Linked DNA regions of Yarrowia lipolytica. The protein of the gene in region 1 purifies or fractionates together with the protein of each later gene. This does not show direct contact. Links are inferred from orthologs where the notes say so. Each region holds a gene or a part of one and is shown on either strand. Other genes may lie near its edges.

Region 1 (5,145 bases):
AGCTTGAAGTCTGCGTTCTCAATCAAACGAAAGGGTCCTCCTGTCGCGCCCAAACAGGGTGCCAAAAAGGTCGATTACGTCACCGCACTGTATGATTACAATGCCCAGGACGATACCGAGCTGTCGATCAAGGCCGGTGACCAGATTGTGGTGGTGGAGCCCGATAGAGATGGATGGACGGAGGGAGAGTTGAACGGACAAAGAGGTGCTTTCCCCACAAGTTACGTGGAGTAGCTGATGAGACCAACGACTCGAACTTTTCAGCTATGATGCTAACGAGTGGTATAAAGCATAACGAATAAGTCAGTTGTTTGTTCAATGATATTGCTACTTTTTGTTCACCTACAGTGCGATCGTAATTATATACGCGCTGATGGTATTAATCATACAAGTACAGTACGCTGGTAATCGAAGATCACCGCCCAGAAGTTCAATCTACCACTTACACCAGTATAGTATGTAATGTACAACAGCCACACAATTGCCTCTACGCGGAAGCCGCTCATATCTATATTGCAGAATAATACACAATCATTTATTATACACACACGTCCCACTAAGGAGTGGGAGAATCATCATATCGAGGAGCATCATCCGTGGACCAGGCTGCAGGGGTTTCGGCCTGAGCAGGTCCAGAACCTCGAGGATCATAGACACCCGGAGTTCGCGCGTCGTTATAGGCAGCAGGTGTCGGAGCAGAATCTTCCCAAGGATGGTGAGCAGCACCTGGAGTAGGGGCACCCATCATCTCACCAGGAGTGGCAGCAGCGTAGCCTGGAGTGGGAGCCGAGTTGCCGCTTCCGAGATCTTCCCAGCCCTTGTTTCGCGAAGAAGAGCCGCCGTATGTTCCTGCAGACGACGACTTCCACGAAGGCGTACGTGCGACTCCAAAGGCCGGGGTTTTCGACCCAGCACCAGCTGCTCCCCAAGCTGGAGTTTTTGCCCCGCCCCATGCAGGGGTGCGAGACTCTGATGCGCCCCAAGATGGTGTTTTGTTTCCCATTGCTCCCCATGCGGGTGTCTGTGCACCTCCTGCATTGGCAGCAGGTGTTCGCGAACCCCAAGACGATGTCTTTGCCCCACCCCACGACGGGGTTTTGCTTCCCCACGACGGGGTCTTTCCACCTGCTCCCCACGACGGGGTCTTTCCACCACCACCCCACGACGGGGTCTGTCCACCAGACCCAGGTCCGCCAGGACCAGGGGGCCCTCCAGGACGACCACCACCCGATCGCATACCTCTAGGAGTAGCAAACTCCATGTATGACAGGTACGTCTTCTTGTAATCGTCGTAGATTCGCAGCTGGTGTTTCAGAACGTTGACAACCTTGCAGGGAGCGTGAAGCTCGACTCGAGCAATATCGTCTGTGGTTTCCTTGACAATACCCTTGCATCCCTTGTGTTGAGAACCAGGCCCGATAGCAACATGCTTGCCCTTGAGACGGTCGAAACCTCCCTGCTTGGGCATGACGGGAGGAGCCATCTGGCCAGGTCGGGCATTGTAGACGGCAGGGTTCATCTTGGTGAGATCGGGACCAGTTGCTTGAGAGTTCGACTGTGTTCGAGCTCCTTTAGCAACAATGGTATTAACCTTGAAGGCCTTGGCGACAAAGACGCCGAGAGATCGGGAGCTGAGGAACAGAGTGTTCTTGTAGATGTGAAGAACGGCACCTTGTCGACCCTCACCGACGGTCTCTCGAACAGTATCGCCAATTTTGATCTCAGAACCGTTGGAGTCGGTGGCCAGACCTTCCATGTTTCGAGTGAGCTTCATGGTGATAGAAGAAGGAGTGACTGATCGAACAGTACCTTCTTGGTCGAGCACCTTCAGACTGTCTCTCTCCACCTTTACAATGCAACCGACATGAAGAGCGTCAAGCTGCACAAAGTCGTGGAGCTCGTAGTCACCGACCTGATGTGAACCTCCAATATCAGACACCTTCTTGAGATCCTTGGCGAACACTGTGACTTCCTTCTTGTTGAGATCGGACAGTAGAGTCACGGAGTCGTCCTCTAGACCCACAATCAGACCAGTGTCGTCGAGGAAGTTACCGGAAATGACTCGCACGTGATCACCAATGGCAAACTTCTTTCGTAGAGATCGGCTAGGCAGATCGATGCGCTTTCCAACCAGAGGAGCCGTCGTGGCCTCCACGGTGACGATATCGCCGTGTGTAGAAATGACAGTACCTTGAACACCGGTCTGCTCACCTTCAGACACTTCGACGACATCTCCACCCTGAAACTGGACAGCCGCGGCAGACTTTCGAAGGCTCTGGGCAAGAGAGGCCAGATCGATACCGTCAGTCTCCTCAGAGTTGAAACGGGTCAGCTCCTCAAGCTTGGGCGCAACGTTCTCGGCGTTCACCAGGGTGATTTTGAAATCTTTGTACAGGAAGCCTCCGATGTACTCGTCTCCCGCGTAAACGTACGCATTGGGGCCACGCTTCTGCAGATTTCGAGGGTCATACTGAGAAGCCTCCTGCTCAGAAAAGAGTCGTGGGGGAGGGATTCGGGCCACTCGCTTTCGTTTACCGTCAATTCCAGCCTCTGCATTTCGTCCATAGTCGAGACGGGGCACCAGCTTGAGACGAACCTCAAGACCATTTTCAGACAAATTCTCGACAATGGCGAGATCGCCGCCATACTTTCCTCGCTTGAGACGCACGTATGCGCCGGGAACGAGCTCAGTCTCGGCAGACTTGGTGGCTCGCAGAAGATCAACGTACTCCTTGATGGGCACCAGAATCATGTTCTGAGGATAGACGTTAACCAGACCCTTAAGAGCCACAGTCACAGCCTGCTGGTTACGGGCCTCCATGTAGATGTATCCGGTGAAGGTATCTCTTTGAAACACGGACATGATTTCCAGCGGGTTTCTGGACTTTTGTAGAGACAGTTTCTTTCGAAGACATTGTCGAACCAGCTCCTTTTCCTTGCCGGGCTTGCATCGAATACCCCAAATGGAGGGCTCATTGACAGAGGGAAGCAGCAGATGCTGGGGGATCACTCCACTGTCTCCTCGGTACTTGTTGGCTGTCGATCGACCGTACTTTTCTCGGTACTCATCGGCCAGTCGTTCGGCATCCTCTTCGGCGATGGCTTCTCGTCGCCGGTCCATCTCTCGATGGAATCGGTCGTCCGAGGCATCGGGCTCGTCGGCATCAGGCTCAGCAACGAATCCGTCTTCTCCAATGAGTCCATCTTCGTCCTCCTCAAGATCCTCTTCATCTTCATCCACCTCGGCCTCGACATCCAGGAACTGGTTTCTTCGCTCCCGTCGGGGCTTCTTTCGTTGCCGCACGTCCTCCTCATCGTCGTCCTCTTCTTCCTCTTCCTCTTCCTCTTCCTCTTCCTCCTCGTCGTCCTCGTCCTCCACGTTGTCCTGTGTCTTGTCCACCTCTTCGCTCTTGATGGTCTTCACCTCCTCGTCGCTCTCGAGATCTTCTTCAATCTTGGACCGAGGCTCGGGAGAGCCAGACTCTTCTCGATCCGACATTTTCGTGGTGATGTTTGATGTTGAAACGATAGCTATTCCTGTGCTGGAATTTTACGTCACCTTCACAAGGTTCAGTGGGAGGATTACTAATGAGAGGGGAGTGGAAAGAGATCATGTGAGCAAAAGGGGATCAAATCGGGCAAAATGGTGAAAAAACGCTCATTCGTGGGAAATGAGGCAGACAAGGATTTGCTTGAATCTCATATTTCACCGATAACATGTCTGGAAACCACCCCAATTCGCTACCTCTCTCTCCTCACCATGGTGGATAATGATTTATGGGTTAGGGTTGATTTTCCACTACTCCAAGCTGGGACGTAGTTCATTAATTGTGATTAATACCCCGAAAAATGGTGAAGATCAGCTACCGACCGTACGACACCGCCAACCAACAAAATGACACGGAAAGTGTCAAGGGCATGATCTCCCACGACCTGTCCGAGCCCTACTCGGTCTACGTCTACAGATACTTCATTTCGTCATGGCCCAACCTCTGTTTTCTTGCATTTGATGAAGACGAGGAGGAGAAGCAGGCCGACGGGTCCATGGACAAAAAGGCCATCGGAACGGTGGTTTGCAAGCTGGAGGACTACCGTGGGTGCCGATCGAGAGGATACATAGCCATGCTGGCTGTCAAGACAGATTACCGTGGCCAAGGTATCGCCAAAAAGCTGATTGACCTGGCGATTGCAGCCATGGTGGATCTCAAGGCGGACGAAATCATGTTGGAAACCGAGGTCAACAACGCGGCTGCTATGAGCCTGTACGAAAATATCGGATTTGTGCGTACCAAACGTCTGCATCGATACTATCTGAACTCCAACGATGCTTTCCGGCTGATTCTGCCTATCACTGGCAAGAGCTGTCAACTGTCGCGTTATCTGATGCATGCCGAGGAGCCGGTTCCACAGTTCCCCACCCACGCTGTCATTTAATGGATTGTATATAGCATGACGAGTGTGGAAGGGATGTGGGAGTGGGAGTGTCAAGAAACCGGCCGGCAAGTAATGAATGGACTAATGAAGACAATGTGTGTGAATGTGGTGCGCGGATGTTTCAGATTGGATGATAACGGGCCCTTTTGGTTATATCTCTTGGATCAGGAGGGCTATCACAACAGACCATGAGTTGAACTTGTTGGACTTCCTACATAGGAGAGAGTCCGTCAATCAACATAAAAAACTATTAGGTCGTGTGTAGTATGGTAAAGCAATAACAACAGCATCAACTAGTCGTTTTCTCTCCCATTTCCTCTCTCATTTTCTCTCTCATTTTCTCTCTCATTTTCTCTCTCATTTTCTCTCTCATTTTCTCTCTCATTTTCTCTCTCATTTTCTCTCTCATTTTCTCTCTCATTTTTATTCTCATTTTTATTCTCATTTTTTCCCATTTTTCCCCCATTTTTTTTGCAGATTGTTTTTATAAATAACTAATCCCTGTTTTAATCATTATCATTTAATCCAAGCTAAATTCCCAATAAATTCCACATTATGCATATGCACCACCCAACAGAGTTTGAACAATCCATGTTGCAGCTCGGAGCTCCGCTCAAAACCCCTCCACCCAGCTACCCGATACATTATCATGCTGGACCAGAAATCGATAGACCATTTGATGTGAGTATTCTGACAACCATGCATCCTCGC
Region 2 (3,062 bases), on another chromosome or scaffold:
CGGGTGCCTCAGATTGTGCTCAACTACGAGCGAAAGTCGTGCGAGGGTATCTCCTTCATGTTCTTCCTGTTTGCCTGTCTCGGCAACCTCACTGCTGTGGCTTCCATTTTGCTCAAAGATACCAGCCGGCAGTATCTCATCATCAACGCCTCGTGGCTGCTTGGAGCCATTGGCACTCTGTTCCTTGACTTTGTCATTTTCTGTCAGTTTTGGATTTACGGAGAGTAGAAGGAAGGGACTGCTACTAGTAAAACGGTTAGAGGTAGAAAATGTATTATATTGTATGGCCATCGTAAAGGACAAACGAGCAGCAGTCTCAGCTCAAATGGATGCACCAGATGGATGAATCAGCTGGATGTAAGGGACATCGATTATAACCATCACAGATGAACGAGTCCAAGAGAGAAAGGCCCCCGGACGTTTTACTGAGATACATTACGTGATACAATATCATGATCATGCACCTATGTACGGCGACCAGTACTCTACAGGACACATTCCATTTTCCAAACCATCTATGCTATCTTACAATTACTTACTGATCGACAATCAACTCGTCGCATCCCCAGTCTTCGAAGGAGCCGTCGGGCAGGTACCTTCGAATCACCAGAGGAATCTTCTTCTGCTGCAGCTCCTTCATGGCGATCTGCAGAGGGTCCGTGGCGTTCTCAATGTCCACGAGAATGGGCGCGTTCATGGAGATTTGCAGCGCTCGTGTACCCAGCACTCGGGCCCGCTCGTACTTGGTCATGTATGGGGTGGTAGTTCGCTCTTCTCGAGGGATGGCCAGTTCTCGGACCGTCTTTCGTCGCACAGCCTTTTCAAAGTTCTCCACGCCCTCTCCGTTGACGATCTGACGTCCGTCCTCGGCCACGTCCGTCTTCACCTCCTCGCCGTTCTCCTCCACATCCGAAACGTGCTCCTCAAACTCCTCCTCGTAGGCGTTTTCAAAGTTGTCGTTGAATCTGTGTTAGTCTGGGCGCTGGGTGCTGGGCCATGTTGTGGACGTAATCGGACGACGCGAGTCACGTGTTCGTCCCCATAAAACGCACGTGATCCCTCCTGGCGCTCCTTACCCCTACTCACGCTTCCTCGTCTCCACCGTAATCAGACATGATGATCAAGTGTGGTACTGAAATGTGGTGATGATGGTTTTTCCACGCAAGGTTTGATGTACTCCCAGTCAAAAAAAAAAACAATCAAAGTTCAATATGACTAAGCTGCAATGGAGGAGGAGCCAGAAGTATTTGGCCCGGGGAGGCGGGGACCGCCGAAGAGAAACAGTCTCGCGACTTCAGAGATGTGGGTTGTTGGCACCTTGTGTGTTCCGGATGAACGTTCTGTCGTCTTGTTTTTTGATTACTTACTGCGCGAGGTTTGGATTATGGGAAAGATTACTTGGAGATTTGTTAAGATCAAAAGTCAGCTGGAGGTTCAAATACAATGTTACAGTAATGGTAGATGCTTAGTATTTATTCCATTTGAATTATACAGCTTTGAGAAGTGTTAATATGAATTAAAATGACTCTCTTGCAATACAAAAAAAGTTGATATGTTGATGCTGGTTTGTGGGAAAGACATTGATACTTTGTTAGAACTTTAGTTGAAACATCTAGGAGTATCTGAGCAGGTTACGACTGCAAGTACAGTACAGTATGTACTCGTGCTTGTTGGTTGTATGTTAGTAACTGATATACAACCAATACAGACGATTTAAATATGCTCACTATGTCTGAGATGATGATGATATCTGATCACGTAATGTGTTGACAATCTGTTCTTCTCTCCCTTCATAACCTGCCAGCGTAACAAGAGGGTTGATCTGAACGGCGTTGAGAATTGCATATCCGAAATTCCAGCAGTCAAACCAACCTAACCGGGTCTGAATAATCTGTTCCCGTCTTTTGTTACCTTGTATCTCAACTATTCACGATTTCACCTCGGTGTCCAACCAGTTTCGGGTAGAAACACACCTGTGAGCCACTCTACTCGTCCCAGGTACCCCATGTTTTGGATATTAATACTACCATGTGAATCAGGGTGATCTCCTCACTTGCTTGGTGTAGTTATCCTCCCTCATTGTCACATACAATGCTGTGTTGCGAGCTACTGCCCGTTTCAATATGAGGGACTGTGACTGCGTATACATTTTGATGATATGACTGTACACGGAGAGGTTATCAGAGTACAGTATGTACTAGTACCGATACTTGTAGATTATCAGAGTATCAGTACTGATACTTGTAGAATTTTTCACTTCTACTGTCACACAATGTCGTGTAGTTGTTGCATCTAAGTGCTATCCACGATAACGAAATCTCGTGAAAATTGTATATAGCAGGTGGAGTTTTCGGGAATAATTCCATTTGTCTCTCTCTGATAGTCCACAAACCCACTTTTCATCCTTGCGGCATCTCTATATCACCAGAATCTTCATCATCAGCCTACTGTCTTCCAACTAACGCCCAAGTAATCAACAGGCTCCGCAACCACCACCCAATCCGCTATGAGACCTTGTAATGACTCGTAGGACATATGATAGGCCCCGGTGGCTCACTCTGGGCCCACTTGCGTCTCCTGCAGGCATTCATGTCATTCGTATTTGGTTTGCACAGACGCTGTCAAATGTATGCTACAGGATACAGGATGTAAGGTGGCGAGCGGAGTGCGAGAGAGAGCGTGAGGGTGTTACAATGGCAACTAGAAAGGCATGGCTTGTGGCAAATCCAGTGGACTTTCCTTTTTATGAACGCTCTGATTGGCTAGTTAAAGACACAGGGCGTACATTTTACCCACTTCGCCGCTACCGGTAGTGCTCGCCAACTCCATTACCGTTTCACAACAGTAGGTACAGTACCAGCGGCATGGTCACTGCTCCCGTACACCACCCTGACCCAGCTAAATATATTTTTCGACAGATGCATGTCTTATGTACCGTGACGCAAAGTGATTTTGAGGAATTCCGGGAGTAGGGGGACATGGAGGGATCATTTTGGTCACGTGAAATTGTTTCAAATGTCTCAATTTGGTCACAGCTCCATTTTCAGACTCGTTGGTGGCGA

The links.
Region 2: the proteins of YALI1_C16204g (region 1) and YALI1_F07675g purify together in Saccharomyces cerevisiae (affinity purification with mass spectrometry, with the first as the bait; 3 studies listed by BioGRID). This does not show direct contact. The link is inferred for Yarrowia lipolytica from reciprocal best matches to the Saccharomyces cerevisiae genes SPT5 and RPO26.

Annotation. Positions count from the first base shown.
Region 1 is NC_090772.1:1,618,777-1,623,921, reverse strand, and holds YALI1_C16204g (uncharacterized protein), read right to left. Parts: upstream 3,500-5,145; coding exon 557-3,499; downstream 1-556. Other genes in the region: YALI1_C16255g (uncharacterized protein), read left to right, coding at 1-234; YALI1_C16200g (uncharacterized protein), read left to right, coding at 3,850-4,434; YALI1_C16183g (uncharacterized protein), read left to right, coding at 5,084-5,115. UniProt on the Saccharomyces cerevisiae protein: The SPT4-SPT5 complex mediates both activation and inhibition of transcription elongation, and plays a role in pre-mRNA processing.
Region 2 is NC_090775.1:766,571-769,632, forward strand, and holds YALI1_F07675g (uncharacterized protein), read right to left. Parts: upstream 1,116-3,062; coding exon 1,087-1,115; intron 966-1,086; coding exon 536-965; downstream 1-535. Other genes in the region: YALI1_F07655g (uncharacterized protein), read left to right, coding at 1-228. UniProt on the Saccharomyces cerevisiae protein: DNA-dependent RNA polymerases catalyze the transcription of DNA into RNA using the four ribonucleoside triphosphates as substrates.